Linked DNA regions of Mus musculus: regions 1, 2, 3, 4 and 5 are each reported to be linked to region 6. The links are microRNA targets in miRTarBase. Many come from high-throughput screens and were not tested one by one. Region 6 holds a microRNA gene; each other region holds the end of a gene's coding sequence. Distances are between the middles of the regions.

Evidence for each region. Region 6 holds the annotated microRNA mmu-miR-149-5p (UCUGGCUCCGUGUCUUCACUCCC, at 2,854-2,876, opposite strand). A microRNA usually pairs through its seed, bases 2 to 8, with sites in the 3' UTR of a target mRNA and lowers its output. Matches are read on the target gene's strand: a 7mer-m8 pairs with bases 2 to 8, a 7mer-A1 pairs with bases 2 to 7 and ends in A, and an 8mer does both.
Region 1: miRTarBase lists Ssbp2 as a target of mmu-miR-149-5p. Seed matches in the 3' UTR shown: 7mer-A1 at 2,940-2,946.
Region 2: miRTarBase lists Kcnj10 as a target of mmu-miR-149-5p. Seed matches in the 3' UTR shown: 7mer-A1 at 3,774-3,780 and 7mer-m8 at 2,269-2,275.
Region 3: miRTarBase lists Nptx1 as a target of mmu-miR-149-5p. The part of its 3' UTR that is shown has no 7-base or 8-base seed match.
Region 4: the mRNA of Nr1d2 is a reported target of mmu-miR-149-5p. Seed matches in the 3' UTR shown: 7mer-A1 at 2,767-2,773.
Region 5: the mRNA of Slc43a2 is a reported target of mmu-miR-149-5p. Seed matches in the 3' UTR shown: 8mer at 1,400-1,407, 7mer-A1 at 2,092-2,098, 7mer-A1 at 3,664-3,670 and 7mer-m8 at 5,105-5,111.

The regions. Positions count from the first base shown.
Region 1 is chr13:91,700,078-91,705,408 of GRCm38, forward strand. It overlaps Ssbp2 (single-stranded DNA binding protein 2), which reads left to right. Exons shown (of 17, transcript NM_024272.4): 17 at 589-5,331. The coding sequence ends at 618. It overlaps 4833422C13Rik (RIKEN cDNA 4833422C13 gene), which reads right to left. Exons shown (of 2, transcript NR_015501.1): 2 at 1,588-3,964. Among named protein-coding and RNA genes, the nearest start is that of Gm22778, 21 kb to the right of the region's middle.
Region 2 is chr1:172,369,021-172,374,353 of GRCm38, reverse strand. Kcnj10 (potassium inwardly-rectifying channel, subfamily J, member 10) reads right to left here. Exons shown (of 2, transcript NM_001039484.1): 2 at 269-5,333. The coding sequence ends at 4,294. Among named protein-coding and RNA genes, the nearest start is that of Pigm, 4.8 kb to the left of the region's middle.
Region 3 is chr11:119,538,231-119,543,563 of GRCm38, forward strand. Nptx1 (neuronal pentraxin 1) reads right to left here. Exons shown (of 5, transcript NM_008730.2): 4 at 4,952-5,131; 5 at 489-4,464. The coding sequence ends at 4,243. Among named protein-coding and RNA genes, the nearest start is that of Nptx1, 6.9 kb to the right of the region's middle.
Region 4 is chr14:18,201,947-18,207,279 of GRCm38, reverse strand. It overlaps Nr1d2 (nuclear receptor subfamily 1, group D, member 2), which reads left to right. Exons shown (of 8, transcript NM_011584.4): 8 at 399-3,224. The coding sequence ends at 595. Among named protein-coding and RNA genes, the nearest start is that of Nr1d2, 34 kb to the left of the region's middle.
Region 5 is chr11:75,571,792-75,577,124 of GRCm38, forward strand. Slc43a2 (solute carrier family 43, member 2) reads left to right here. Exons shown (of 14, transcript NM_001199283.1): 13 at 1-89; 14 at 524-5,333. The coding sequence ends at 685. Among named protein-coding and RNA genes, the nearest start is that of Pitpna, 14 kb to the right of the region's middle.
Region 6 is chr1:92,847,924-92,853,256 of GRCm38, reverse strand. Mir149 (microRNA 149) reads right to left here and starts at 2,879; the gene lies at 2,814-2,879. The region is part of intron 1 of Gpc1 (glypican 1); the gene reads right to left. Gm29480 (predicted gene 29480) reads left to right here and starts at 4,460. Exons shown (of 4, transcript NR_166170.1): 1 at 4,460-4,556.

The sequences.
Region 1 (5,331 bases), not on the chromosome of region 6:
GTGCATGTCTGTGTGTGTATGAGGCTTCTGTGTTAACACATTGGAGCATCTGGTCAGCAGAGCTGACAGTTGCTCATGACTCCTTACATAACTGTTCACTGAGCACTTTCTGTGTGTCGAATCAAGTATACAGTTGAAGGATTTTATATTGAATACTCCCCAAAGTGCTTGATATTGTCAGAAAGGCTGTTATAGGGGAGAAAACTGAAGGAGAGTTCAGGGAAGTCCCCCACTCACTGGGCTGTATATAGCAAAAGCTAGGCCTCACACTCTTCACTGTAAGCCACCCTTGAACTAAAGTTGTCCAGATTGTTTCAACTGTCCTCAAAACTTTCATCTGGCTTGGAAGGAGAGTCTGAGGACTGCATAATTATCTAGGTCCTGGGAAAGAATCAGGCTTTGTAGAGGAAATAATTTCAAATTTTAAACTAAGTAAAGCCATATAAGCTGGCTTGTTACAGTTCCTTATTTTCCTGAAGTTAAAGGTGTGTGCTTAATTGCTCATAGAGCCTAGCATCCATCCCTTGCCTCTGTGTCAGGAGAACCCTGCTGACGTCCCTGCTAACACTGGACTCTCTGTCCCTGTAGTACTCCCCCAGCATGACCATGAGCGTGTGATCCGTTGCCGCGTCTCTCATGAAAACCATCGTGAGTCAGCCCATCACAGAACTACTACAGAAGAAAACTACTCGTCGTGTACAGTTAGACAAAGGAATCTCAGACAACCAGACCACCTTTTAGTTCCTGCTCTCTCCCCTATTTTGAGAAGAAAGCGGGTCCAAATGTGATTCAAGCAACTGTACGGAGCGGCACATTAGCATTGCCCCCAACTGAACTGCGATGATTATCTGTGTGTATGTGTGGGAAGAGAATGCATCGTATATGCAGATCTGTATGCACATATACGCATACGTGCATTGACCCACAGGACATTGTAAGATAGTATCACATGACATCTTAAGTAGAAGTAAGTAGGACTTTTATGCCATCCTTTTTTTCACGTTTACACTTTAATTATTAAAGGTTGCTCCTGCCCTTCCCCAACTATTTTGTGCTGTGTACATCACTGCTTTATATAAGTTATTTTTTAAGGTGAACTCAGATGTTATGGTTTTGTAAATGTCTGCAATCATGGATAGGAATAAAATTGCTTATTTGAGAGCTTTCATTCACTGTGTCTGAAGCAAGTTGCCCGTGAGCCCCAGGTTGTACCAAGTAGAGACAGTGACTTCATCCTCATGTCCAACCAGGCACCCAGTTACCTTCTGTGCAAAGTAGTGTGGTGCTTTGTATATAAGGAAACCCCTCAACAGTAGCTCAGCCAGGGCTTCATACAGTACACTTCTGCAATAACTGCTTTAAATTGAGTTCTTTCTTGATTTGTGTGTCTTAGATGATGCAGAACTCATTAGCTAACTCAAATGACTTAAACTGTAGCAATAAAGTGACATGGGTTATCATACTTTTAGCACACATTCTCTCTTAAACACGATAAAATCCAAAAGTGATAACAAAACCACTTGTTTGAACTTACAGCGTCTCCCAGGGAACTAGAAGTAAATGTCTAATAAGACACAGCGAGAAATGGTGTTGTATGTTTATTCAGATTTCCTATGATCATTTCTACAGACACTTGAAAACAGACAGACACACTGACATGATTCAGGTTTTCAGCCCAGAGAGCAGAGAATGAGGAAACTAGAGGATTCTGCAGCGTTTCTGGTTTCACCCACCCAGTAGCTTGCTTGCTGGAGCAGAACTGATGGGTACCTGTCTGTTCTGTTGTCCCTGCTCTCAGGTGGCAGTTCCATGCCCTGTCTGCTCTGTCCTGGGTCAGAGGGCTTGCACTGGGAGGCAGATTATCTGTGTAGCTTATGTTCACTGCAGCTGGCTAGATCTCCATTTTGTGTCTGACAGTTCAGAAGGGAGTAAAGAAACAGTTTTAATTATCTCCCTTATGAAAGCACCCTGCTTGCATGACACTTCCCAGATCTTTGGGATTCCGTTTAATCCTATATCCAAACACCAAATCCTAATAGGAAAAGCATAGAGAGTTTATTTTATAATTGAAAAGACAGCTCTGCAACCCTTGCTGTTCTAACTGAGATACAAACAACCACTGATCTCTACCCTGCTAGAGGGTATTGCCCGGGCTTAGGGGCGAGGATTCTCCCTTTCCTGTGGGACTGTAACATAACTGAAAACGTTGACACTGTTTGCCTGCTGTTGGTTCTGGACAATTGATTTCTCTCAGATCCACATTGATTCATCCTTTCTGAAAATGGAAAATGTTAGCTGGGCATTCCAGGGATGCTGGGAGCATAGAGGATAAAAAAGATGAAGTAGCTTTACACTGCAGATCTAGAGGACAGTATATGAGTCATACTTTATAAAGTACAGCGTCAGCCTACAACTGTACCAGAGAGCAGCCTTGTACTAGCCAGCTACAGGAACCTGTCACAGGCAGTTCACACAGGAAGTCCATTTCCCCCCAGTCACTAGTGGCCACTTCCTTCTCTCTGACTGTACAGAGTTGAACTGTGTTCAGTGGGCTCGGTCTCCCAGCGCTTCCTTTCCTCATCTGCTCTCCATCTCGCCTGGCCTTCGTCTCTGTCATTCATCTTCTGAGAAGGGAAGCAAATGATTCCTACCACTCGCAGAAGTCATGAGCCTAATTTTACTTGGGAATCTTAGAATATAAATGACACAAATGGCATTTTAACAGTGGTTGATAGAGTAGCATCATGTGTGCTTCTAACCTGTTTTGTTTTTTAAAAAAGTAAAATGGTTTTGTTTTTGTTTTCATTTCCTTTCTTTCTTGGAACTCCGTTTAAAAAAATACCTGTTTCCAATGTTTAAATTCTTGAAAAACTGAAAAATTATTTTTAAGACAAAACTACGTTCTCAAACAGGAAAATAAAAGAATGCTTAATTTTTATAGCCAGATAACTTTTGTTACCCGGAGGGTAAGCATTATAACTATATTGATTTTATGTAGATCTTAATTATTTAACATTTATTGTTTTTCTGGTAAGAAATCCAACATTGTCATGCATTCTACGGCTGTTGGCCCATTCATGTCCTCTTGATGTATATGCTGCTTGCCAGAGGTTAGCTTTCTGCATACTTCAGCCCATAATAATGAAATCAGCAGTACTCACATATTTTGGGCATAGAATGCACCCATAAAATGTGACAATGGGCAGCAGGTGTGAGCATGCATCCGGTCACCCCTCCCTGCCCTCCCTAACGCACCGACGTTTGAAAGTTCGTGTCAGTCTTAAGTCCTGAATGGTTCTTAACCACCTGACTTTCTTACTGTGAAGATGCCCAGTGTAAAAAAAAAAAAAAAGGCTTTGATAATTTGATGGACAAATTATCGCTTTTTAAAAAAAACATTCCAGTTTGGGTTCAATTACCAGTGAACAGGAATTTTACAGCTAAAAGTCTGAGGTTAAGATTTCTTGATTTCTGAAAGACTAACAAATCAATTCCGCTCCCTTCAGGCAAGGAAAGTGCTCAGACACACCTGTCCCTTCAGAAACTAAATAGAGAAAAATTCTGTTCCCCTTCAGCCAAAGAAAGTGCTCAGACACACCTGTCCCTCCAGAAATTAAATAGAGAAAATCTGTTCCATTTCTCTTTTCATGATTCTGTCAGGCGTCTGAACTCCATTGCATTTGAAAGGACCATTCAGGTAAACATTCTTCAGCTTGGAAGTGAATTCATCTTGGCATGTGAAGCCCCACAGCCGCCTACATCGTTCCCCACATTGATCTGGGGCTGTGTCCTCAGCAGGGACTCTGCACAGTTCTCAGTACTCCATACCCCGGTTAGCTTGTGGCCCGGTTTCTCCATGCCTGCCTTCCATCCCAGGAGATGAGATGCAAGGGTTGAGCATCTTTTCCCTCTCGGCTTTGCAGCGTTTGCCTCTGCACAGTGTGTAGTACTGGTGGTAGTTTTCCTGAGGAAAGAAATTTCAGTTTTCATCCCTTGATTATTACTGTTCATCATAAGCAGTATGAGAGGTCACAGCTATGCAACATCTGAATGTCCTCTTGATGCTGTTTCCTGTTGTGTTTTGTGGGCTGTAGCTCTCCTCTCCTTGAGACATTAACTGAGGCAAGAAGCCCATGAATACTTGGTATATGGAGGGAAGATTGGTGTGATGAGACCATTATCACATGTTTTACCAAATGCCAACTAGTCTTTTGTAGTTTTTCCTTCTTAAATTTCTCTGATATGAGAAGCAAAACCCCATGCTAGCTTAAAACAATGTTTCTGATTTTAAACATTTGTAACAATCTCCCCTCATCTGAGAAATATGCCTTGAGAAATACAGGAAAAGCAAGAGTGTTAAAACCACCTCAATTCTGCATACTACATGTGTGTATATCTGTGTGTATATGTTGGGAGATGACAGCATAAATTTTGCTTCTAAACCCCACTTCTACTAAGATCATGTTATTTTATATAGCACTGTTGATAAATAGTAAACATTTTTTTTCTTTTGACATTTTATTTCATTGGTGAGATATCTGATACAAGTTATTTGGAATAGCAAGAGAGGAGAACACCACTATTCTATATATTGAACAATATATAAGCAGGAGTAGTTTTCCCAGGCCCAGATTTAGCTTCTCAGCATTGGCCTTCATACTGAGCTTGTCAGAAATCATGCAGTAATTATAGATTCCTATTGTACACATTTGTTTATAAGAGGTTGGATTGATATCCCCTAAAGTGTTAACTTTACCCATGAACGGTAATTCAGTTTGGATGACCTAATGATAAACACACATCTGAGACTTTCAATGACTTCTGTAGACTTTATTATGAAGAAAGATATCCAACTGACTGAGTCTCAGAGGAGTTTCCTCTGTGGAGTTTCCCGTGGTAACTTACAGAATTTGTTTCTTGAGTAAAAGAATCAATTCTGTATGGAGTTTAAATTGAAATGTGAATAGTTTTTGCTGTATACATTTTTAAAATGGAATACAGCACTAAAATGAAATATGTAAATGTTACAGCATTTAATGTGGGACTGAGTGTTTTCAATGTATGCATTTACTGGGTCTGATTAGGATAAACGTTTGCTTCACTTTGACTGTCCCAGTCACTGGAATCTTACGATCTGCTTCTCAAACACTTAGTGTTTCATTTCTAAAGCAAGATGGGCTGTTGCTTTGGCAAAGGTAAGTGTTACTATTCCTTGAAAAACAATATAAATACTTGTTCCCAGTTATTACATTTCACTTTTCTTTTGTGACAATTGGTCCCAGTGTATCACCTGAGGGTGAGGCTTGGGTCCCTTACAGGAGACTACAGTCT
Region 2 (5,333 bases), 80 Mb from region 6:
TTACTGGCTCGCTTCCCCTGGCTTGCCTGAATTTGCAATGTATCTGTTAAGGGATCTTACCTTAACAAGGGAAGGAGCAAGAAAAGGACTGGGTGAAACCATTATTGAAATGTTCCAGTGTGAGGAAAAGTCAGCAGGAAGGGCTGGCCACTGGATGGGAAGTTCTTCCAACAGAGCCTAGTTGAACCCTCCTCTCCCCAAACTCAGCCTATGAGTTCAAACCTTGATAACAAGATAGGTTTCCCTTTCTAAAAGGAGACACAGTGAGAACAAGAGATGCATCCAGTTTATTTAGTAGTTTGTTCTGAACAGACAAAAATAAACCAAAAATGCCTCACACATCTTTTTTTTTCTAAATACATTTGACCTGGTTTAGTCTTTAATGCAGCGTGTAGAGAAATCATCCCTAGATTCTTCTGTTTCAGTAGCACTGGCCAATACTGGGCCTGCAAGCCCAGCTATGCACAGCATAGGTAATGTGTTATTTTGCAAAGAAACTAGGTTAGCTAGCATGGGTAAAGGTTTGTGGTAGCAAGCCTTGGAGAATGTGCAATGTCCCTGGCTAATAGCCACATTACGACTGCTTTTCTTTTTCTGCTGACCTCAGGGAAATCCCTGCATAGTGCTAGCTGGTGTGGGTTTCAGAGAGTGGGAGGAACAGTAGGGAGCAGCCAGAATGAAGTGAAGCCCAGGTTAGGGATTTCAGAAGCTTTGCATAGAACTGCATCAGCCTCTGGGGAAGAGGAAAGCAGAATTCTGCATTTCCATCAAGAAGCCTTGTAGCCATCGCATTCACCTGCCTCCACGCCGGGGCTGAGACGATGACAGATGAAGTACCCTCTTTAGGATTTCTCTATATAGGCTTGGGCCTCTGCCTTGAGAGTATCTTGAGCTCAACAGCTCATCAGTCCTAGGGCTTGCATTCTAGTGTTTGCATTTGACACACCCCCCCGTACTAAAATTTCAGCTTCTCAATTTTTAATGATGGGGCCTAGACCTACAGCTCCCATCTTGGTGGAAGAAGAGAGGAAAATGGAAGGATGCTTTTGTTTGCTCGCTTGCTCGATCGCTTACTTGCTCCCTTGCTTGCTTGTTTTAGAACTTGTTCAGCGGCAGGTTGTTGGCCAGGGATTGTGTGAGTGGTAGATTTTCCTACTTCTCCATGAGTGGAGCATCCCTGTGTCCCATTTCCTCCTAGTTTTCCTCTTGTCCTGCCAGCACAATTCATCAAACCTCGACGGATGCTCCTTTATTTATGAAAAGGGCAGGGTCTAGCCCTCCCTTTTCCATCAAGCAAACTTAAAACCATCAGCTACTGTCACTGTTGTTCAGACCATAACACAGAAGATCCAGCTATCCTGCTCCCCCAAACCAAGGCAAAATATTTGTCCCTTTGTTAAAGTCTGAATACTTCCTTCTGTACAGTCCGTATATTTGGGTATATGTACATCTATGTACATTTCTCTGTATATATTATCTCTGTTTTTCTCCTTAGATAAACATATATCATATCTCAATCTCCCAAGTTTCCCCCCACCTCCTGTGTGTCAGTCATAAGTAAGTAAGACTCTGAGTTTCATCTCCCTAGGCCCCTTAGCCTCGTCGTTCACTTTTTCCCCACTCTGGAGATCCTTCCCCATTGGTCGTTTTGCTCACCTGAAATCTCCCATCCCACTTAGAATTGGCGCACCTGTTATTCTCCTGACATTCCAAGTCTCTAGCTGGTACAGACAGGGAACCCATTTTTCATCAGCCGTGGCTGTTAGTAAAGCTTGCCCTGCATCCTGAGAAAGGATTTCAGGTCAGAGAGTCGGGCTGGGATCTAAAGAACCACTTAGGGTTGTGAGTGGGAGTTGTTCTGCAGAACATAAGGCTTGTTGGAGAAAGGTGCCGTTCTGAATTCTGAATTAACAGGACAGATGTTAATGATTTTTAAATGATTTTAAAGTGCAACTTAGAGCAAAGCCTGGGATTGTAGAGGAAGTTCAAAAGGGGTTAAGGCAGGAAATGCTCTCTCACATTGTTATCCAAGATTCTGAGGAGAGTTGGGCCTTGGCAAGGCTCTGGGACGAGGGTCATTCCCTCAGAAGGGAAGCAGCAATGTGAAGAAGAAACAGGACAGAGGATAAATTGCCACAGGATAAGAAGACACACACACACACACACACACACACACACACACACACACACACACAGCAGTACACATGGTCCTTGCACACTGGACACATCAGGTAAGCGCAGCGTTGAATGTATTTGAAAGCACATAAGCTGGCTCTTGCCTTCTGCTCTTTGTTTCAGACATTCAGGTTCTTCTGGTTCTGGTTGTTGATGAGAGTTGGAGGCTAACGGTGAGCTTTACAGTAAGGAGAGACCAAAGGCTCTTCGTTTTCAGGCTACAGTTAATTGAGTTCAAGGGAAGACCAACGTAAAAAGACTGTGCACAGTTGAGATCCACTCAGTCTTGGGATCTTCTGAGTTTCTCTGCAAGGCTTTGCCCAGAGATCCGGGCATGCATTCTGTATAGATGTGTCGCTTGTCATCTGTCAAGTCCACCTTACAGCTTACGTCATTCCTGCCAAACTACCTTGCGAGGTTTCCTGGGTACCCAAGTGGAGCCAAAGCTCACTAGGACAGGACCTGGTGCTTCAAATGCCCTTCCATGACCCCTGCCACAACCCTCACCAGAGAACTAGGAATGGCTTGGGTGTGATCTTAAGCTGTCTTTGTAATTTGCCTGGAACTGGCCCGTAGGCAGAAAAGAGGAGAGATGGCGCTGGTTTTCATCATTTTATGCCAGGTGTCAGAATGGCAGAGATCAGAATGTAAGTTCCTCTCCTCTCAGCATTGCCTCATAAAATAGCTGGCACTTCTCAGAAGGGCACCAGGAGATGGAACAAAATAGTGGCTGTCAGCCAGAGTTCTGCCTCAGCCCAAACCATAACAAAACATCACAAATTCCCCGAGGCTCTGTACAGCAATCTGGAAATCTGAGAAGTGGGTTCAGCTTTCCTGGGGAATCTGTGCCCTGTGACTAGTTTTAATAGATCGATGTTAAGAAAGGCAAATGACCATGTTTCCCTCTCTTACTTCAAAAGGTTGAGTTAAGGGAAGGTCTGGGGTGGGAGAAAAGGAAGCAATGGAACTGGTACAGTGTAATCTGGATGGTTTTAGATATTTTCGTGAGGTATGTGCAATGGACTTATTCAAGAGAACATTGGGGGCTTGGCATAGTGGTTCATGCCTTTAATCCCAGTATATGGGAGACGGAGGCAGCTAGGTATCTGTGAGTTCAAGGCCAGCCTAGTCTACATAGTAAATTCAAGGACAGCCCATGAAAGAGAGAGAGAGAGAGAGAGAGAGAGAGAGAGAGAGAGGGAGGGAGGGAGGGAGGGAGGGAGGGAGGGAGGGAGGGAGGGAGAGAGAGAGAGAGAGAGAGAGAGAGAGAGAGAGAGAGAGAGAGAGCATTGGTTAAGGTCTTCCTATTCCCAGGAAACACTAAAACATATCTTTTCAGGACAGAGCTGCCCAAAGGACAGGGCCAGAGTATTAGACAGTATTTCCAAAATTGAATTTCTCAGAATCCAGGATGGGTGCAGGAAAGGTGGCTGCTTGTGTTTCTCGAGTCAACCCCAGTTCTACAGAAACAGAAGCTGAGAGAGAACCGGCTTTGCTGAGAAGATCCACTTGAGAACTGGAGAGGGAAAATTAGGTGGTGACCAAGAGTCCAGGCTCTGTCAGGAGTTACCAGCTGAAATTAAAACACCATGACAAACTCTGGCTTCTTTCTTCAGGATTTGATAGCCCAGGGAAAACTGATTTCAGATCCCAGTACTTCTGAGGGCAGAGCCCATAGAGTGACTCTCTGAGAGAGTTCTGCCTCAGGGAACTTAGCTAGATGGAAGAGAAAAGGAGGAAGCTCCAGTCTCAAGCCATCAAATTTTCTAGTGGTGGGCGTTTGGGGGGGAGTCTATCCATCCAGTCACATGGTCCTCTGAATGTGAATCTCCAAGCATGGCTGCGGCCTTCCAAGCCATGTCAGCCTCATCTTCCCTCTCTTTCCCCCAAGCTGGCTTAAGAGTCATATACATTGGTGTAGTGGTAGAGGAAGGTACAAGGGGACAGTGAGAGGAAAAGGAAGGGCTCCAGCAGGCCCCGACTGCTCACAGGCCACCGGGCTAAGGGGAAGTTGAGGGTGGGTGCTTCAGGGTCTCTCCAGCGAACCCAGATTGTATCCTTTTCCCAGAGCACTGGAAGAGGAAAAGGCCAGAGGGCTGGGGAGGAGAGAACAGGATATCAGACGTTGCTGATGCGCACACTAAGGGCACTGCCTTCCTTTTCAGCTTGCTCTCTTAATGACTCCTCCAACTTGAGCTTCTCGGGGTCTCCATAGCGTACGGTGCTATCGCGGAGACCACTGGGAGATGCCACTTTCACAACCTGGTCGAAAAGGCTGAAGTCAGCTATGTATTTGCCACTGGCTGACAGTGAGATCGCAGGCGTGAACTCGTAACCCCAGAGGATCTCCTCCGGTAGGTAGGAAGTGCGAACTTGGCAGGTGGCACTGGTGGACTCCACTGTCCCACTCAGGATCAGCACCAGCTCAAAGTCCCCCTCCCCACTGCGGAGCGGGAGATCTTTTAAGGGGCTGGTCTCATCTACCACGTGGTAGAAAGTCAGGGGTAGGATGAGAAAGGGGCTGTCTGAGGCTGTGTCTACTTGGAAAGTCACGTTGACCTGGTTGAGCCGAATATTCTCACCCTCCTTTGTCTGGTGCGTTTGAAGCAGTTTGCCTGTCACCTGGCATCCAATGAGGAGACTCTTCCGCATATTGGCAACCCGGATCATAAGGCAAGGCTTCCCGTTATGGGAAGCCACAACGGCATGCTGGCTGAAGCGGATCGTCTCGGCCCTCTTCTTAGGCCGGGCAATCTTTGCAAGGAAGGTACCTGTGATGAAGATTTCCAGAATGGTGGTGAGCACCAGCTGCGCAATAAGAAGCACGATGGCCAGTGGGCATTCCTCACTGATGTAGCGGAAGCCATAGCCGATGGTGGTCTGGGATTCCAGGGAGAAGAGGAAGGCTCCGGTGAGCGTGTGCACCTGCACCACACAAGGCGTGTGGTTGGCAGGAGGTCCCAGCTCCAACAGGTCCCCATGGGCCACAGCTACCAGATACCACACCACACCAAAGAGGAACCACGTGCCTGCAAAGGTTGCAGAGAAGAGCAGAAGCTTGTAGCGCCATTGCATGTCAATGAAGGTCGTCCATAGATCCTTGAGGTAGAGGAAACGTTTGTCAGCAATGTGCTCCATTCTCACATTGCTCCGGCCGT
Region 3 (5,333 bases), not on the chromosome of region 6:
TTCATTGACCATCCAGGCTAGATGAATTGGTAGTCTCCAGTTTCAGTGGGAGAATTGTTTTTAAAAATAAGGCTGGGTGGGGGTGGGGATGAGGGTCTGGAAAGATGGCTCAGCAGTTAAGAAAACTGAGTGCTGTTGCAGATGGTCTGGCTTTGGCTGCCAACCCCATATGATGGCTCACAAGTTACCTGTAACTCCAGTTCCAGGGGATCTGATGCATTCTCTTAGTCTCTGCTGACACAAGGCACACAAATGGCGTACATACATGCATAATTACGTACATACATGCAAGCAAAACACCCATATGTAAAATAAAGATAAAAAGAAAGAAAAAAGTGGAGAGAAACTGAAGGAGATACCAGTGTTGAACGCTGGCCTTCAAATGCATACACATTTGCCTGAATATGTTCTTGCAAACACACACACACACACACACACACACACACACACACACACACACACATGAGAAAGAATCCAATGAGACCACAGTCTTTCTTCACTCTTTACTGTGTAAAAATAAACTTAACAATTCATGTCATCTCAGCAAGAAAATGGGAAAAAAAAAGCAAGGATACCAGTATAAATAGTGCACTTCCAGAATGGCTGATGGGTGTGGTTTACCCCTTTGATACTCAAAAGGCTGCGGATTGTATGAAAAATGTACAGCTTTGGTTAGCAAATAATGAAAAAGTAAGATACATCGATTCTTTCATATTTTACAGTATGTACATTGTAACAATATCAACTCTTGGGGGGTTGCTTTTTTTTTGGCAAATAAGACAAAATTGGGACTCTAAGTATTGGGCTTTTGTTTCTCCTCAATGACTTGTTCCCTTTTGAACAAATTGCACGTAAGTCCACTGCGCACAGAAGCAATACATTTCCCATTGTTAGCTGAGTAAGTTTACACATTGTGTTTTGGATGAAATCATGACCACTTCGAGCCACGCTCGGGTTACTAAGGATGCTGTACCCCTATGTTAGCCAGAGTGACCCTAATTCCTTCTATCAAGCTCAGAACTGGTATCCAAATTCTTATCTCCTTCCATATAACCTTTCAGCTCCAACACAAAGAGCCCACCATCAGGGGCCTTTCTTTTTAACCTCCTGGTCCCTTACACACCCTCAAGATCTGGTGGCCCCTCATCAGAGCTCACTGGAATGACTGTGAACCTCAGGCCAGCCTGTCCTTCCCCCTCACTGCCCACAAGACAACCCCTTGGCCTCAGGTCCCAGGGCTGGTGACAAAGTGATCTTTGCAGTCTTAGAAAATAAGTCGGGCGTCTACAAAAGGAAAAGAAAGCATACAAAAATGTATCTCTTTCTTCCAAAATACTTGCTTTCAGTCCTAGGTTTTGGCGGAGCCTGAAAGTATTTTCAAGGGAGATATAGGTTGAGATAATTTATAGGTTTGTCCTATTCTTTCATAAAAATACTCTTGTTTGGTAATAAACTTTTTCTTCTACAGTAAGAGAAATAATACTGTGTTATCAAAAGCAAGAAGGCTTACAATTCAAGTGAGCTCTCAGCCCCTAGGGCCTGGGAGCCTCCGTGGCAGCTCTACCACCCTAATGCCCAGGGTGCTGTCGGACACCATCGGCAGAAGCAAACACTGTCTCGACAGTGCGTTTTATCTCTTATTTTATAAAATGGCTTACCTGAGAGAGGCATGTATTATTCAGTGCAAGAGGGAACATCAATCAGATTACGGAGTCGATGGGAAATATGCGGATTAGATTTGCGGCTGTCGTTACCTTTCTCAGGGCCAGCAAAGTGCCAAGTGTGAACACAGTGACGGAGAGGAGGGCTTGGCACAGACTCCAGTAAGGGGCAGGGCAAGAGCTAGATGTCAGCGTCTGTCCCTGGCACCGTGGGTGCCGCAGGGGAGAGGAGAAGGGAGAGGAGTGGAGAGATGAAGTGACAGAGGCAGAAGCATTGGGGTGTGCTCTGCCCTCTAAGCCAGGGCAGAGGATGGCTTGTGGTCCTGAACGGACAGCTCCCACCCCACCCGTCTGGGTGCAAGTGGTCTGGGGTCCGCATTGGCAGGGGCTGGGGCTGGTGGCAGGGGTTGGCAGGAGTACACCGGGCATAGCCGGCTCTGGGCCTCGCCTGGTGGTGGCTCCCAGAAGGCTAAAAGTAAGGGTGGGGCTCGATCTGGTCTGGAAAGTCGATTTGAAGTTCAAGTTCTCTCTCCCAACCATGGGTACCATTCAGGCTTGTTCTCAACCTAGATGTTAGAAATGCTTCTTGCTATGTCTGGGGAGGGGGAGGGGAGAGGCATGTTGATCTCTCTCCTGACCTCCCCAACACCCCTGGCTTGCTTACCCAGCCATTTTTCAGTAGCTACATGGGTGATCACAGAACACTGGGTGGCATTCAGCACACAAACACAGAACCAGAGAAGTCCATGCAGGCAAGGGAACACGCGTCAGACCAAGGGAGCAAGGGACACACCACCCTGAGGAACATGCAAACACAGAAGATCCCCGCAGATCCAAGGATGCCACAACCCGGCGGGCGCTGAGGAAGCACAATTATCTAAGAAAAAGCCACTGCTGGACAACGGGTGGAGCACAGCCTGATCCGCACCCTCAGAGAGGATGCACCACAGAGCAGTGACCAGGGAACTGTGCAGACACCCACAAGAACAGTGACACAGACAGCACACAGACAGACACGGATGCACTAGTTTCAGACACAACATGGACCTGTGTGGAAGGAGACAGGTGCCCCTGGAAGGAACAGCAGGTGGAAAACCTGCTCCTGTTGAGGAATTAAGTGTCTGCAGCTGCAGACGAGCCAGGCAGTGCGTAGGTTTCTAGAAAGACTTGCCAGCCTCCTGCTAGTCAGGCTACTGGAGACATAGTCCAGGTGTCACTGGGTGTGTGCCCACAACACGGGGGGGAACAATGCAGGGGTCCACCCTGCCTGGACACAGCCTCCTCAGCATTCAACAGACACATGTGCACACACGCATTTCGTCCCCCTCCTCAGAAGGCCCAGAAGGGGGTACTCATGCCTACTTTCAATAAGGAAAAGCCACGGGCTCAGTGTCTCAGGCCGGTGGCAGGTTGGGGCTGCTGCTGGGCTTGTGCCCCATGAAATGCAGGAGTGGATGGCAGGACCCACCCCGGCCAGCAGGCTCCACATGAGAGGTTTCTGAGCCCCTGGCCCCTGAGGGGTCTGAGCTAGCTCACCCGGGCCTGGGTGCGCTGGGGGGAGGGAGTATGGCTGTGAAAAATGCCGTGGGAGACCATTCCCACGGACTGTGGATCAGGTCTCGGTATTCTCTAGCGCTGAGACCGAGCACGTGAGACCCCCACTTGAAGCCTCTGGTCTCTCATTGCCAGAGGGAGGAAGAAGGGTGGGTGCCAAGGCCCTGTGTCCTGGGACTCTGGAAGGGCACTCTCCTCTCAGAACCACTGGGCTGAAGTAGCTTTGGAAGCTGAAAGGGAATAACAGGTCCCTTGATAAGATACAAGGAGGCAGGAAGGCCAAGGGTGAGGTGAGGAGCAGTCCTGGGGTAGAGCTGCTGAGGGGCTCAGCCCATGCCACCCTCAGATGTAGACAGCAGACAGCCTGATGGGGACGTGGGAAGGGGCTGATTGGTAGGTGGTGCCATCCCTGGACAACCAGCCTTTGAATTTCAGAGACTCCACTTATCATCCCCCCCAAATATTCCTGTGGAAAGCACCCCCCCAACCTTGACAAACCATTGTTGACTTATGTCAACAGAGACCTACATCACTCCCAAAGAGGTCTGCAAACAAGGACAAATGGGTGGTCCAGGAAGCCGCACCAGCCCTGAGGCACACAGGCAGCCGACCCATCAGGAAACTTACAACAATCACACAGAAAGAAGGGAACAAACTAACTCATTCTAGAAGAAAGCCTCCCTACACACACACTCGCGCTCTCTCTCTCTGTCTCTCTCTCTCTGTCTCTCTCTCTCTCTCTTTCTCACGAAATTCTGCATTGTCAAAGCTGATGCTGCCTGCTTTAGCTAGGTATGCCCAGGATATAGTGGGGCCCCTAGAGAGAAGGGGGTGTCCTTGGGGGCCAGAGAAGAGCCGGGACTGCTTCAAGTGCACAAGGAGGACAACCAGGCTGTGTGCGTGTGCGTGTGCAGGGGCCATGGCCTTGAGTCATTCCTGGGGGGAGGGGAGAAGAGAGACGATGGGTCACCGCACAAGCAGGGTGGGCAGGCGCTGGGGCTGGGGGCTCAGCCCTAGCCTGAAGCCTTCAGTTGATCTGGCGACAAGCCTCGAATGTCCACTTGGTGGCTCCACCAAAGATCTCGATCTGGGACTCAGCCCAGGCGATGACATTGCCAGAGAGAGCCTTGCTGCTGCAGGTGGCCAGGTTGTACACCTCCCCGGGGGTCAGCTTGCGGTCCCAGATGTTGAAATGGGCTAGCTCACCCACAAATGCTTGGGTGGCATCAAACCCTCCACCTAGAGTGTCCTTTGGAGAAGAGTGGGGGAAGAGAGAGAGAGAGAGAGAGAAGGGGTTGGCTGGGTGACAGAGAAGCCTAGCAAAGCTACCCCTCCAGGGGTCTTGAGATACCACCCAATCCCCAGGGCAATAACGAGAAAGAGGTTGTTGAGAGCCATCAGCAGCCAAGGCCACAGTGTCTCCGACCCCTCTCAAACACCCTATCTGCTGGAAGACAAGATGGCTCAACAGGAATGGAAGATGACTTCCTGTCCCCTCATCTCCCTCCCAGTCCGTGCCCAGTGGGAGATGAACCATTTCACAGGAACTAAATTATTCATTGCTAAAAGTGGAACTGGGCTTCCCGTGCCAAAGAGAGGCCTGCTGCAGTTTCCCAAGAGTGCTGGGACCTGGGCCCACTCCCATGGAGCTTGCTGAACTATGATGTGACTTGTTCCCGGCACACACCCATGGACACACACATACTCCCTCCCTCGCCCTCTGCCCAGGCCAGTACCTGTTCCTGACCCAGCACCAGCACGCCCTGTGGTTTGATGGGGTGATAGGGTGCCAAGTTCTCTCCATTGCCACCCTGGGTGCCATCCTGATAGGCCTCCCAGACCCCATCCCGGGTGGTCCAGGTGACACAGATGTGATGCCATTTGCCATCGTTGATTACAAACGGCAGCTTGGCCACCTGGGAAGGAGGAGGACACACAGTATGGACACTGTAGCCTGGTGCTACCCAGAGCTGAGGACATGCTTAAGTTCTGCCACCATGCCCCTCACTCAGTTTCACAACTCCTGTTGGGCTAGTATTGAACTTTCACAGCACTGCCCCCTCAGATGTCCTTAGCATCTTCCAGCCCCACCCATGACTGAACCATGGCATCCACACT
Region 4 (5,333 bases), not on the chromosome of region 6:
ACATGTTGGAAGAAAAGAAACCCCAGGCTAGCCTTGAACTCTGAGATCTGCCTGCTTCTGCCTCCCAAAATCAAAGGCATGTTCTCCATGCCTAGCTGAGAATTACCCTCCCCCCAAAGCAGGGTTTTTCTTTGTAGCCTTGGCAGTCATGGAACTTGCTCTGTAGACCAGGCTGGTCTCAAGAGATCCACCTGCCCCTGCCTCCTGAGGGCTGGGATTAAAGGCATGTGCTACCATCCCCGGCTCATTTGTTGTTGTGTTATTGATGTTACTTTAGCTGAGAATTTTTACAGCTTGTATATATTGCTCTATTTCAAATTTGGTAGTGGTCAGTGAGTAAGTAATCATTTATTGCTAATGTCTTCCCTTCATATTTCTTTCTTCTCTACTTTCATTAGATCGATCTGGAATTGAAAATGTCAACTCAGTGGAGGCTTTGCAGGAAACACTCATCCGTGCACTAAGGACCTTAATAATGAAAAACCATCCAAATGAGGCCTCCATTTTTACAAAATTACTTCTAAAGTTGCCAGATCTTCGATCTTTAAACAACATGCACTCTGAGGAACTCTTGGCCTTTAAAGTTCATCCTTAAGGCCTTTGAACATGAACTGATGCTAATGTACATTTTATGCTGAGATGTTTATTTATATGTGTATACTATATTGTGGAAATAGAAAAGAACTTAGCGCCAGGTCCTGGGCTGTCTCTGTAGTCAGTCACCAGTAGCTGTTGGGATAAGAACTCGTTGTCTTGTTAGACATTGGCCCACCCTCCCCTGTAGACCAATCAGCTGTGTTGCACTTAGACTGGAGAAGTTACACTGAATTATAATCACACTGAATGTTAGACTTTTTCATCTGCCAAAGCCAAAATACCATTTGATCTCCCCATGGTATAAATCTAGCGCACATTGCCGATATAGGAGGACTTAGACATTAACCCTTTGTGCTGGGAATTCTGTTGTACCACAAGACTGAAATGTGGTAAGGGAGACTGAGAGCCAAGAGGTCTTTATGTACTTGGATTTTGCTCTGCCACTGTCAAAGTACGTGGTGGTGGCAGTCTCTGAGTTTTGGAAAATGATAATTGATAGTGTCCCCAATGTTCTGCCTCAAATACTGAAAACTATCCATAAAGCGTCTTTACCTCTTGGGAGATAGGCACTATGTAAATAAGGTGAAGTTTTTATTATAATTGCTCATAATAGTATTCTTGTCTTATTTCTAAGCATTTCTGGGAAACTTTGACAGTCCACACCAATTTATTCAGGGTTCCTGCTCAAGTAGGGTACCCTACTGATAAACACATATTCCAGGTTTATGGACACCTCAAATAGTATGTGTACATAGTGTGTATGTGAATATAATTATATATAAAAATCTTACTTCACAATATTTTAAACTGTGAAGAACTTTATCATACAATAAAACTTAAACAAGAGGTGTCAAGGACCCAAATTAGGTGCATTTTACCTGTTGCTGCTGATGTATAACCATTGCTTTACAATGTTTAGATGGTAGAATACTGAAGTTAATGCTCTTATTTTTGTTTAAGGAACATTTAATGTAAAAGTGTGAAGAGCAGTCAAATCTGGATTTTAGAAAAAAATGTATTTTAGGATGCATCTTTGATACAATCTGCAGTTGAAGGTAATAGATGTTTCAGTGTTTCAGCTTTCTACCTTGTGCTATTAGTAGAGGTGGTATTGCTGCCTCTTACGTGCTTCAGGTGGATGGCAGATTTGGATTCTGTATGGAGGAGGTTTTGTTTAGGAAAACTTTGTGACCTGTTGGCATGTTTGTGCCAAGTCCACTTTTCTTTCTTTCCCTAAATAATACTACAGGGATTTTGTCAATTTAGATTTAATATAATTTGAGAAACCTTTTAGTAAGTGACCTACCTACAGGCTTAGAGATCATGGTAGGAAAGATGGCCAAAGTTAAAGATTCATGAACAACACCCCGTGCCCCCCAAAGTAGCAATTCATTGTATTTTGGGGGTAAAATTACTTTCTGTGTAATGCTAGATTATGTGAAATTGTAACGACATTAAGAACCTGCTTTACTACTTAAAGCCTGTTACTTTTATGACATTTAATCAGAATGCCTTATTTTGTAGTTTTAACTTGTTGCTACAGGATTTGAACTTCTGTGGTACAGTTAGGAGAGCTTGAGAAAGATAAACTCCTATTGTCAAAGAGGAAAGTGATGGTGTGTCTGTCATTCAGTAGGGACCATAACTGCTGCTTACGTTCAGTGGGTATGGCTTTTATGGGATATACAGCTAGGTTTTGTGAATTCTTTACATGATAGCATTCTTTTATTTTTTTTCGTAGGATAAAAAAATGCATAGTTTTCTTCTATGAGGGATAGAGAACTTTTTTGAAATAATACTATGTTGATTCTTTATTTTTGCCTTTTACATAAGTGTCTTTATAACATGTATCTTTAGAGCAGTTAAGTCTTTGGAAATATGTAACCAGAACTGTTAGTATTGCTTGTGATGCTTTAGTTAGGGTTAGTATATACATGTATACACCAAAATACAAGCATGTAGATTTGCATTTTGTCTCGTAAAATTTTATTTTAATAAATTCTTCCTGAAGTAATGGGAAACAAAATCCATAGTTCATATGCCACATGTAGTATTTCTGTATTTGAAAGTAGCCCAAAGATGAGCATTCTAATTCTAAAATGAAACCAGCAGCCTCATACAAGCACATTCTTTGGTTGAGTCATGGTCTAACAGTTAATAAATGACATCAGCCAGATAGAGAACCTCTGAGTCAGTGGGGTACTGTTGATAATTAACAATGTACTGTATGAATTAAGTGACATGTTAACCCTGACTTTATGTTTCAAGGTTAAAATATGGGCATTATCTCATCAGACTTATGGGCATTATGTTAACAAGATGAACCATTTTTTCCTGTGCTTTTAGTATGTGATATGAGAGGATTCCAGCTTCTAGAGAGTGAACACTGAGGGAAAGGAGAGACATCGTAGGATAAAGTTTGTTCTCCTGGTAATGGTTAATTGCAGATAAAAAAATTTGAAGGGTGTTTCAGTAGATTAATATATAGATTTCATATCTACATTGTAAGAAATTACCATTGTGATTGGGTCAGAATTGATGTGTGTTATATAAACATTGCAAAGCAAAGCTGTGAGAGAAGCTCAGATAGATGTATCTTTTTGCAATATAAAGTTTGCTGAATGTATGAGTTTATTGTTTTGTTCTCTGTTTCCCTAGTAGACCAAATCCCTACTGAATCCCTCAGGGCCGCCCCTAACACTGCAACAGAACATCAACTTCAGCCTTCCTTCCCCACTGCCCACACTCTCTGTGGATCCCACAGAACATTCCTTTCTAGCCTCTCTTCCCTGAATTGTCACTGTGTCCCAGCCTTCAGCTTGGGTGGACACCCCCTACTCAACTACAGGCCACACCTGCTAGAAGACCAGGTACTCTGCTCTTAGACCTTCTCTGATCTCTGTGTTTCCCTAGCAAACTCAGTCCCTCAGGCTCATTCCAACCCAACTACAGCCTCCCTTCCCTGTTCACACCTCCTGTGGATCTCAAAGAACATCCCCTTCTGAGCTCTCTAAAATCAAAACTCAACCTGCCGGTGTAAAAACAGTAACAGCCAGGACAAAATGTTTCCAGAGTCCAGTTATCTTACCACAGCAGAACCTTGCTGAAGTGCAAGAAAAAAAACCTTAAAACCACTGCATGAAGAAGATAGAGGTCCTTAAAGAGGAATAAATCTCTTAAATCTAGGAAAGCACAGTTGGATGATGTGAATAAGTTCCTTAAAGCCAGGAGAAAACAACAGTTGAAGGAAATAAAACTGTTCAAGATCCGTAAATGGAAACAGAATCAATAAAGAACAGAATTCTGGAAATGGAAAAATTCGGAATTCGAACAGGAACTACAAACGCAAGCTTCAACTGCATACAAAAGATGGAAGAGAAGATTGGGCATTGAAGATGTAATAGAAAAAAAGTTGAGGGCTGGTGAGATGGCTCAGTGGGTAAGAGCACCCGACTGCTCTTCCGAAGGTCCAGAGTTCAAATCCCAGCAACCACATGGTGGCTCACAACCATCTGTAATGAGATCTGACTCCCTCTTCTGGAGTGTCTGAAGACAGCTACAGTGTATTTACATATAATAAATAAATTAATAAATATTTAAAAATAAATCTTAAAAAAAAAAGTTGATACTTCAAAGAAAATGTTAAATCTAAAGATTTCCTGACATGTAACATCCAGGGAGTCTGGGACACTGAAAAAACCAAATCTATGAGTAATAGTAATAGAATGAGAAGAATTCAGCTCAAAGGCCCAGAAAATATTTTCAATAAAATCATAGAAATTTCCCTAGACAGAAGAAAATGCCCTCCAAGGTACAAGAAACATACAGAACACCAAATAGGTTGGACAAGAAAAGACCATATAATAAAACACCAAATGTACAGGACCAAGAATATTAAAAGCTGTAAGAGATAAAGATCAAGTAACATACAAAGGAAGACCTATTAGAAGTAAACCCGACTCATCAACAGAAACTCTTAAAAACCAGAAGGATCTGGACAGGTATGCTGAAGACTCTTATGAGACCATAGATGCCAGACCAGACTGCTATGCCCAACAAAACTGTAATAGGTCACTACAGATGGAAAAAGTAAGATTTCATAGTAAAACCAAACTTAATATCTTCAAATCCAGCACTACAGAGGGTGCTGGAAGGAGAACTCTAAGGAGGTTAGTTACGCTCATGAAAATACAGGAAATAATTTCACACCAGCAAAAACAAAAGAATGGAAGCACACACACACACCACCATCACCAAAACATGTCATTGGTTATTGATGGACTAACCGAATGGATGTGAAAACAGGATTTATTCTGCTGTATCTAAGAAACATATCTCAACATCAAGCATAAACATTACCTCAGAGTAAAGGGTTGGGAAAAGATTTTCCAAACAAGCTGGTTTAGCCACTTTAATATCTAACAAAATAGACTTCAAACCAAAACTAGTCAGAAGAGATGGGGAAAGAATACATACTCAGAGGAAAAATGCACCAGATATTTAAGTTTTTTTTTTTAAAATCTTTTGTATGTTCTTTGTGAGTTTCACATCATGTGCCCCAATTCCACTCATGTTCCTGTCCCTCATCTCTTGCAGCCTTTCCCAAAAGAAAGAAACAGTGAAAACCAACCCCCACCCCCAATCTAGCTATTGGTGTCACACAGTATACCCTTTTGTTCAAACAGCTTTACTTGAAAATGCTCATTGCATTGAGCCATTGGTTGGTTCAAAGCCTC
Region 5 (5,333 bases), not on the chromosome of region 6:
TGCAGTCCCTGGTCAGTGCGCTCTTTGCTCTCCTGCAGCAGCCGCTGTATCTGGCCATGATGGGTCCTCTGGGAGGAGACCCTCTGTGGGTAAGAAGGGTCAGGGTGTCTCTCCATTCTGCTCCTGGGAAGGGGGCCCAAGGACAACAGGTAGTGTGGGAACGTTGGACAGTACCCAGTCAGGGGTCCCTGGTGGATGGTGACCGGGAAGGAGGAGAAAACTGGCCTCTCTGGATCCGATTCTGGGGTGAATTCCAGGCTTTCCATCCAAAGCATTCTCATCCAGGTGTCATGAGTTGTCCCAATCCCAGCCCATTCCCTGGAGGCCGCTGAGGAGCATTGGGGAAATGAGATGCTGGAATGTGGGTTGACAGCTGGGACCCCTTGAACCTCCTCTTTAGTTTTGAGTCTTTTCTGTGTGACGCCTTCCCTTCCCCAGACCTGCGTGTGCGGGTGGGCGGGCGGGAGGGTGCTGCCTTGCGTGCATGCAGCTCCCTCTCACAGCCAACTCCCCACCATCCCAGGTGAACGTGGGTCTGCTCGCCATGAGCATGCTGGGCTTCTGCCTGCCCCTTTACCTCATCTGCTACCGGCGCCAGCTGGAGAGGCAGCTGCAGCAGAAGAGGGAAGACAGCAAGCTGTTCCTTAAGATCAATGGCTCATCCAACCGGGAGGCTTTCGTGTAGTGCCCACCCACCGCCTCAGTTGTGGCCTCCTGCCTGTGCTTCAGTGACTGACTGCAGTCATCTCCCCACCCCAGAGGACCTCATGCTCTCCCTGGATCCTGCCCTTCACCACACTGGAGCCCATACTTCCTCAGAACCACCTGGCCCTGCCGTGGAGTGCTGGTGTGGAGGGACAGGAGAGGGCCTGGGACAAGTGAACCTCCCACTGCCAGAAGCTGGGCTGCCCTGGCCTAGCTGTCACCCCAGGGGCTCTGAAGTCTCCCGATCTCCATGGGGCTTGTACCTGGAGCCAAGGGGACCTTTTCAGCGAGCATTTCTTTCTTTTTATTTTTTCTTTCTCTTTCTCACTGATCGGATTCTGCCTCTTGCCAAAGCAGAGGGGCCTGCCATCCTCCAGCACACTACCTGTCCCTGAGCTGCACGCCCACCAACCACGCCCACCTGAGGACAAAGGCTTGCGCTGTCTGCACTCCCCTTGCTTGGCCCCTTACCTCCCCTGGCCAGTCTGGCTGCCTGAGGAAGGAAGGACCCGCTTCCTGTTGTTGGTGCTAACCCCTTTGTCATCCCAACACCCCCCTGCCCGTGGCTAGTCTCTGGCCCCTCTTTTCCTTGAAAGCCTGAGAAGAAGCCCCCCCTGTCTCAGGCTGGGGAAGGAGTGGAGGGCAGACTATTTACACAAAGCCTCAAGAGCCCTGGGCCAGGCTTCTTCCTCCGGAGCCAGAGCAGTGTCTCTCTGCTGGCACGCTTTGTTCCAGTCTGCAACCTGAAGGGAACTAAGGGGACACCACAAGGGCACCCTCCCATCCACCCACAGCTGTTTTTCTGGGGTGGAAATAAGGCTGTGACTAGACATGAGGAGCCAAGCCTAAATAGGGAAGAGGATTAGTGAGTAACCCGAGGGGTGTGTGTTTATGTGGTACGTGTGTGTGCATGTGTGTATATGGTAGGAGGCTAGCCCCAGGGGCTGCTTTTATCAGAGTGGACCAGACCAGAAGCCAGCCAGCCCTACAGCAGGCTCAAAATAGGAGTCAGCCTTGCTTTATGATGGGGACCTGTGTGTATCGGTGTGATCACAGTGCCCCCTGCTGGCAGACTCACATCAGGGGACTGGAACGGTTCATGTAGTAGAAGCCTAGCCGGCCTGCCTGGCTCACTAACCCACCTTGCCTTGACAACCCCTAGAAACCCTGCCTGAGACCTCTTGGGGTGCCAAGAGGGGTACATTGGTTTTTAAGTTTATGGTTTTCTCTTGTTTTATCATGATTCTTTTTATGAAGCAATAAATCCATTTCCCTGTTGGTAATGGATGCCCCTCCTCACGTATCAGCTAATTACTGTATGTGCCTATTTTATATTTGAGAGGAGAGACAGGGCAAAAGGGTCTGCCAGGAAGAAAAGAAAAAAGAAGCCAGACATAGTGGCACACATTTTAATCCCAGCATGGGAACCTGAAGCAGGCAGAGTTTGAGGCCAGTCTAGTCTACATGGAGAATTCTAGGGCTACATAGTCAAAATCTGTAGATGTTCTGCTAGTGACAAACCCAGCTACACCTGGGTGACATGTCCAGGAAGGGGCATGGGCAAAGGAAAGCCCTGTCTACCCTGTCCAGGGAAATGGGGCTGTGGAGAGGTGTGGGCTGCCCTCACTGCTGTCTGTTGCGACTAGACAGACCAATCCAGAGAGAGCCTTCATCTCCACTGTTGGCTGTTACCGTGTAAGCCCAAGGGTTGTTATATGGTGACTCCAGGAAAGTCCTAGGCTAACTAGCACCCAGGCTAACTGAGATGCCCTCAGTCTCAGTGCAGGCCCTGTTGTGAGAGTGGACTGCCAGGTCTTGACTCCAGTCTGTTCAAACAGTAATCACATAACCCCAACAGTGAGCTAGTGGAAGCCCTTTGAGGCTTCTCATGGCTCAGTGGTAGAGCTCACTCTTAACATGGCTAAGACCCTAGGTTCTGTTTCCCAAGAGAGCTATTGTGTATTTTCCAAACCATCTCTCAGAACACTTGTCTGTGAAAAGGTCTAGTGGGGTACGCTGAGTTAAAGTCAGACCTGCCACTTCACAGCAGGGATCCACAGCCCTTTCCCCATGTTCCTGAGCATTGGAGCTGGGGGTAGCACCAGGTGTAGTGTCAGGAGGACCTCTTTGAGTTCAAGCCCAGCCTCCTGTACATTTCGAGTTCCAGGCTAGCCGGGACTATTCAATGAGACCCTGTCCAAAAAAAAATCCAAAAACCTGTTTGCAAGGATGTGGAGAAAAATTGGAAGTTTTAGGCATTGCTGTCTGAGTGGTGGAGCTGAGAGCTGTGGAAACATGGCACAGTCCCGTAATGCCAGCACCAAAAGGCAAAGGGTGACATCTTTCAGCATGAGCTGCAACCCTGCTCACACACAAGGTTGTGACATGCTGAGTGGTGACAAATCATAGCCATGTGCGACATGGTGGCTACTTGGCTGAAATGTGGATTGGCTCCAGGCCTGGGTGTGGATGTAGCTCAGTTGGTAGCATGTTTGCCTAGCTTACCCAAAGCCCTGGGTTTGAATAAACCTGGCATGGTAGTGCAGCACTTGGAAGGTGGTGACATCAGGATCAAAAGTCCCTCTTGGTCAGATAGTGAGTTTGATGCCAACCTGGAATCCAAGAACTCTCATCTTCGGAAAAAAGAATGACAAAATCAGATGGCAGACCACTGGTCTCACCTATGTCTCGATTTGATTCTGGTGCTGCCCAGAGGTTAAGATGCCCCTGTGAGGAAGAGAAGAGGTTGAGGGAATGTCCCTTCCTGCTAGGGATATAGCCTGCAGACACAACCTGTGCAGTTCCCAGCAACACTGAGGGGCCCACACTTTTGATCGTGATGCTGTAAGGGTATATATCCTAGGATTGAGACACTAGAAAACTAAATGTGGGATGGAAAAGAGCCAACGGTACTGGAAGATGAGAGACGTCCACTGGTAGCAGAGAACAGGTGTGGCAAGCCAGATGAGCTCTCCCTAATCAAGGGCCATCCTGCGCTGACTTGGCAGACATGTCAGTGTCTTTGAATCACGGTGACAGCCTAGAGTGGTATAGATGCTTGGAGAAGCAACCCCAGAGGACTCTCCTGTGGGTCTCAAGTCACTAACACAGCCGAGGCTGTCTCAGCTAGAACCCCCCCCCCCCCCATTGGAAGCAAAGAGCCCAAAGGGTGCAAGCTCAGAATGGTTTCCATATCTTGGAGCCAATGCTTTCTCAGGTTTGAGGCAAGCTATTTGCACAAGAGTCACGTGAGCTCTGGAGGCTGATGGGTCCTTGCAGGAATAATTTCCCTGATCTCTTCAACCTCAAGAAGAGTTACCCCAAGATAGGCACAGAAGCACAGGCTAGACACAGGCTAGAGGCACCGATGGAAGGAACAGGAAGCGATGCCAGCCTTGTGGTTTTACCCGTCAAGGACAGTCTCACCAGAAGCCCCTCCTTTGTGGTCTTGGCGTTCATCAAGGATGGATTCCCCTGGGACTCTACCCTTACGACTCTGCCGGGACCTATTCACAGCTGGCTCCAACCTTCATTAAAGCCAAGGTACAGGCCCTCGGGACCACCTCCTGTGCTCTGTCCCCTACACCCACATCCAGAAGTTCTGATCAAAACTTGTACATAGCCAGCCAGTGGTGCTGGTGCACACCTTTAACCCCAGCTCTCCCCTGCTCAAAGCTCAGCGCTTGTCTCCACAGAGCCCAGCCACAGGGGCTGTTATAGCCTCAACACTGTTCCCTAGGAAGGGCAGTAAGGTAGTTGTGGGTTTTATGGCAGTGACAGTGCCTTATCTGTGAAGCTACTAGGCACAACCTAAAATTGAGTAATATACATATATATATATATATATATATATATATATATAGAGAGAGAGAGAGAGAGAGAGAGAGAGAGAGAGTGTATTGACTCAGCTGTGTGGAAAGAGCACCCAAGGGTTACAGGAGGGCTGGCTTCTCCTCGGGCTGTAGCTCTTCCCTGGATTGAGGGTCAAGATGAGGCTGTGTCCCCATGCTCTAACCTGCCTTGGGCCCTAGAGTGTGGACAGAGCCTCCTGAGCTGAGGAGAGTCCGTGTCCTCTATGAGGAAGGTATCATGGCTCTGTCAGCACAGCCACCAACTATGCCCCTTGGTCCCTGCAGTGAGTCATTCTTCCATGGATAGATCCAAGACAGGACCACAGGTCACTTCCTAACCTTGACTGTTCTCTGAGGGGAGGCATGTGGGTTAGCAGCCACTCCACATTCTCAGGGAAAGCTCCTGCCATTTCCTCACGTGAAATGGAGGCTTCTGTGCTCTCACGAGGTGGCTAAGGGGACCTGTAGGTAAATCGCAAGAACAGCAGTGTGTGTAGCTCACAGCAGAAACTTAACACCAGGACCCTGGAGAAAGGCAGACAGCACGGGAGCCAGGCACCCCCCCCCCCTCCTATGACAGGACCCTGACACAAGGGGACTGACCATGTCAGACTGGTGGCCAGATAAAGATGGTACTGACCTCAGTCTCTTCAGAAGTCGTCTTACAGAGAAGCCTTAAGTTCCCCCCTTGCCTACTTTTCTATTTTGTCCTTCACGTTTTTGGTAAGAGGCTTGGCCAAAGAGTCTTGATGTCAAAAGTCCCAGCAGCCCGTACCG
Region 6 (5,333 bases):
TGAAGGCAGAGATGGGGAGAGGGGGCACATTGTAGGGCAAAGCTGGGCTCCAGTGTCTCTGACCTCCCAGGGCCTCTGATTAAGATTCAGGGATGGGGTACCACAGGTTATCATAGTTATCAGAGGGCTGAGCCTCAGACTACGAGTACTGTGTGACATAGTCCAGCATCTCAGGAATGCAATGAGAGTCCTAGCAGGGCTCCCTGAGAGCCAGCTCAGCCCTCACATAGAGGGAGAGGCTGCCCGACTTAGGTTGGGGACCTGATAGAGGCTTTCGAGCCTGGCAGGTGCCTCTGCCCGGGGGAGGAAGAAGAAATCCAGCCTCTTCTTAGCTCAGGCCAGTCTCAGAGGCCACCTGACTGACAGCAGAGTGGAGTGCCCCATGAATGTTCTGCAGGGCCTGTGTCAGCATTCTGCAAGGGCCCTGGGTACCATTCTGGGGTGAAGAAAAGCATGCTCTGCGCAGGCACTGGGTCCCAAACAGAGGCCACTCAACCCTGGCCTGAGGTTCCCACTAGCTGGACACATTCCCAGTCCCCATAGTGTTCTGGCTGAAACTCCCTCCCCCGCCATCTATCCTGGGCTGGTGAGCTGACCTGTCAGCCCTTGGTGGCACTGCAGCAGTACCATTCAGGACAATATCAACTGCCACTTGCTGACAGAGGGTTGCTTTGGGCCTACAATTGGCCTCAAAGTGTCTACCATGGAGCCCTTACAGCACACACCTGAGAGTCTCCTGGCATCAGAAGAAAACCTCAATGGGAGAGGAAACCTTCTGCTAAGGCTATAGTGACACCAATTTACAGGGAATCTGAGGCTTGGAGACTGGCTTTTGTCCCAGTTGGGGGCTGAGCTACTCAGGACTGGGCCTATGCCTGACCCCACTCTGTTCTACTCCCTTCTCATAGGGTCACACTGCTGTCTCTGAGCCTAAAGACAGAGCCCTACAGTCCCTACAAGGGACTGGGTGGATCAAAAAGGCAGAGGCAGTGGCCCAGCCTTAGGTGAAAGGTCTGAGAAGAGGGAGCGGTCAGCAGGGATTCTAGAAGCTTCCCTCGTGCAGGAATGCTGATTTTGATGTTATGGGGAGCCAGTGAAATGCAGAGTTTCCAGAGCCCAGAGTAGGTGCCAGGGCTGGTACCTGGGCTTTATCCTTGCTGACGGGTTGATGGGAAAGGTGGGATGTGAAGAACTCCAGGATGTGATACTGCAGGCTGCCATCAGAGGTGGGGGACTGAGCCAGAGGGGAGTGGACATCTTGTCAAGAAGCATGTGGGGGCAGGAACCTGTGACCTCAGGATGAGGCCATTATGTGTTAGGCCCCATTTCTATGAACCCCCCTCCCCTGAAGCCAACTGGGAGTGGAGATCTCTGACTAAGGAGAGATTCTGAGGTTGCATTCACCCTTAAGAGCTTGTTACATGATCACATCCTTGTCTTTAGCACTTAGTAAGCACAAGCATTTATGTGTGCTGGATGGTGTGTGTGTGTGTGTGTGTGTGTGTGTGTGTGTGTGTGTGCATATTGCAGAGTGGAACTGTGTACAGCCTCTGTGATTTTGACCTGACATGGAAGGTATATATCCCCAGATGCCACCCCTCCATCCCTAGGTAGGGCAACCTTCAGATCTGCTCTTCCAGGTCTCAGGTTGAGGGCCTGGCCTAGCCCTTCTCCTGCTTACTAAGGCATGGGAGCTGTGCTTCATCCCAGAACCCTGGGGACTTTTGGCCTCACAGGCTGAGTCCCACCTGGTTTCAGGGTCCCCAAAGGTCCACAGAGCAGGGCAGTGGCTGACAGCTGGTAGAAGAACAGAAGGAATTGTATTCTGATTCAAGGGTGCTTGGGGGAGTCAAGAGAAAAGGGAGTCAGAGATGGGAGGTGCACACGGAATGCCCCTCCCACCACTCCCCTACCTGGTACCCTCTGCTCCTACCACACTGCTTCCTCCTGCCCAGGGCACCTGCCTTTCACAGGGACTGCAGGTCCTGGGAAGCAACATGTTATTAAGCACCCAACCTCAAGAAAGGGCTGGGTTGGTGCCCAGACAGCTGGGAGCTGCAAGCCTAGGTCCTGCCACTTGATCTGCATCCATTGATTGATTCCCTTCCTTCTAGAGTAGGGAGGGCTAAGCAGAGATTATCCACCCGCAAGCAGGCTACAGGCACAACAAGGTACAGGGCCCAGCAGGGCCTTCTATTTGCTCTGCTCCGGGCCATGGTCTGCTGGGCTGAGGTGATATGCCACATCTCTCTCTTTGAGTGGTGGGGTTTAAGGGTTTTTCTGTTAGAGGAGGAATCATGGGGGGCACTGTAGAGGATGACCCATCTCTGACTTCAGCAGTGAGTGGGGAAACAGCTATGGGGATGGAGGCTGCAGGTATCAGGATGGGGCCATCCTGGGCTCAGCTGGGACAGAGGCACTCTGTGTGTGTAGGCCAAAGGTTTTAGGTGGAAATATTGAGGACCAGGCTGCACAACAGAGCACTGGCAAGAGAGAGGTGGGCACAGCCTTACTGGCCCCTCCCATGGTTTCTGCTCCTCTGACATCCTTCTCCATCTTAGTGGTCCCAATTGCCACCCCTCACCACATAGACAGAAGAACGAAGCTGAAACAGGAAGAAGTTAATTAAGGACACACACTCAGAAACAGAAACTCGCCCCACTCCACGGCAGGTTCTGGATAAATGGGACCCATGAGACTTTTGGCCAGCTACTATGAGCATACCCCATCCAATGGCCTCCCCTGCAGCCCCCTGGCTCTGCCTGGCCACCTCACCCAGCCAGCCCGGTGACCTGCGCTGTTCCAGTTGCCCCAGCACCGCCCCCGTCCCTCCCTCCCTCCTCGGACAAACACGGGAGTGAAGACACGGAGCCAGAGCCTGGGCACTGGCCTGAGGGCCCCGGGCAGGCTGGGTCAGGCTGCCCAGAAGCCCATGCATTGGCAGACCTGCTTGCTGAGGGTCAAAGATAGAGGAGCTGAGACCCAGCCCAACTGGAACCATAGGTGCTCAACATCAGAACAGCTAAGGCAGGCTCTGCAAAGCTCTCTACACTTCCAGGAAAGCACTGGAGTACATACCCATCGTAGGAACGTCTCTCCGTTCTACCCTACCAGCAGCTTCCTCCTTGCCAGCCCTGAAGGTGGGTGGGAGTGGAGCGGCAGTATTGTTCCCCACTGACCCCGCCCATCTCTCTCAGAGTTGGTTTCATTTTTCCAGATCTTTCCCTCCTGGGTTTTTGGGGGGCACTACCCTCCCCTGGCACTCACAGGTTTTATTTGGGGAAGGGGGTTGTTTGTTAATGGCAGGTTTTCCCCACTTTAGTCCCTTTTCTAAGCCTTGTCCCCAACCCCAAAGCCTCTCAAATTCCAAGACCCCTGCTTCTTGTGACACTTAGCATGGCACCCCATTGCAGCAAACCCATGGGCAGCAACTGCTCATTTACCTCCTCCCAAATCTGGCTGCTTGCACCCCACCCCCGGCCCCCCACTATTCTCCAGAGCAGACAGCAGCTTGTGGCTTCCTACCTTTCAGGGTCACACCCTCCTGCCACCTGCTGACAGCTCCAGCTCCTGCTCCTCCCTCACAGAGGCAGCATCCCTCTTGGTCATCATCCACAGTCACCCCAGGACTTTAGCAGAGTCCAGCATCCTGATGCTACCCACAGACATCTCTGACCTGACCTCCCCTGACACTTCAGGGACCCAATGCCTTGAAACCCTCCACCTTCTGAAGATAATGCAGAGTCATGCTACCCCGCCTCTGGTCCATTCTTCTAGAAGCTTCCTGTGCTCACGGGGGAGATGCAGAGTGGAAAGCCCACTTCCCTCACGGCCCCTAAAACACTCCAGCTGGCACGGCTTGGGGGAGTGTAGGGGCATTCGGAGTATAATCTCTCAGCACCGCAGATAAGGGAGAGGCACAGGCTACACTCCCCTCCCCAGCTGCTGGCTCCTAGAGCAGGCCTTTCTGTTGACTGGTAGGTTAGAAGTAAACCAGCCCTCTGTGCTCCTGGGTTTTCCAGCCCCAGAGGCTGAGAGTCTCCAGGACGTGACAGCCTGGAGCAAATGGCCCAGCTTTCTGGGGGACTACTCACTGCCCAGGCTCCAGGGGCATTTTCCCATTGCTTGCTCCTGTTCCCCAACAAACCTGTCTAGTCCCCGGGGGTCACACCCGAAGGAAGACATTTCAACTCCATCTCTGAAATTGGAAAAGCATCAAGCACAATCCCCTCCCCGCCCCCACCTCACTCCCAATACTTTTCCACCCTCCTGGATGCCTTCATGATTCCCGAGCCCCTGCCTCCGGTTCACCCAAATGGCAACATCACCAAGAAGAACCTCCATCACGAACAGGGACCCCCTAACTGGGGGGCATCGGCTGCTGGCACTTCTATGGACTCGATGGGAGGGGTCATCTCCGGGCAGGCAAGGGCTCCTGCCAGCTGCCTCTCCAGCATCAGGCCAGGCCCTGGGCGAACAAAGCCTGGGCGACACCTGCAGCTCCGACCGACCGCTGCCTCCTCTGCAACGGGGATGGTTCTGTACAGCTGGAGCCGGTAAGATAAGCCGGAGCTGCAGATGCAGGCGCCTGCTCTGGCGCCGCAGTGAGGAGGGGGCGCTGGTGCAGTGGGCGCGGCTGGTGCGGAGAGCTGAGTGCTGCGGCAGGCAGAGGGGGGCATTTGGAGGGGGGCTGCGGAAAGCGGGAGATGGAGGGAGAGGAGAGAGGGCGATGTGATTGGCGGGGAAGGGGCTTGCCGCAGTGGGCGCGGCGGCAGAAAAAGGAGGGAGAAAAGCGAGCGCCATGGCTGTGGCGGCGGGGGCGGGGTGAAAGGGGGGATGGGTTCAGTAGAGGAAGGGGGACTTACTGCGGAAAGGGGGCTGCGGCAGCCTGAGGGGTGCAGGGGGAGGGATGGGGTAGAGAGGAATATCTAGGATGGTGCAGCACAACTTTAGGGAGATGGGGATGGGATGGAGGTGGGAGCTGAGAGACATGAGTGGACATCAGGGCTGATGACCAAGCTCTTGATGGGAAGGGGATGAGACAGAGATAGGCTGTAGTGGGGGTACAGCTGCGAGAGAATGGAACTGAAGATGAGAGGTGAATGCATGGAGGAGGGGGGATGCAGACAGGAATGGTGATAGAGATGGTGCCTAGCAGACGTAGCCTGGTAGCTTAGCGGACACCCTCCTGGCCTTAGAACCCCCTTCTCCATGGCCGCTCCAATAGTGTCCCCAGCTGTGGATGCACTCCGGATAGCAAGGGCGATTCCAGCGCCAGTGAAGTGGTCTGGCAATTGCAGAGCAGCAGAACTCAGCAGGAAAGGCCAAGATGA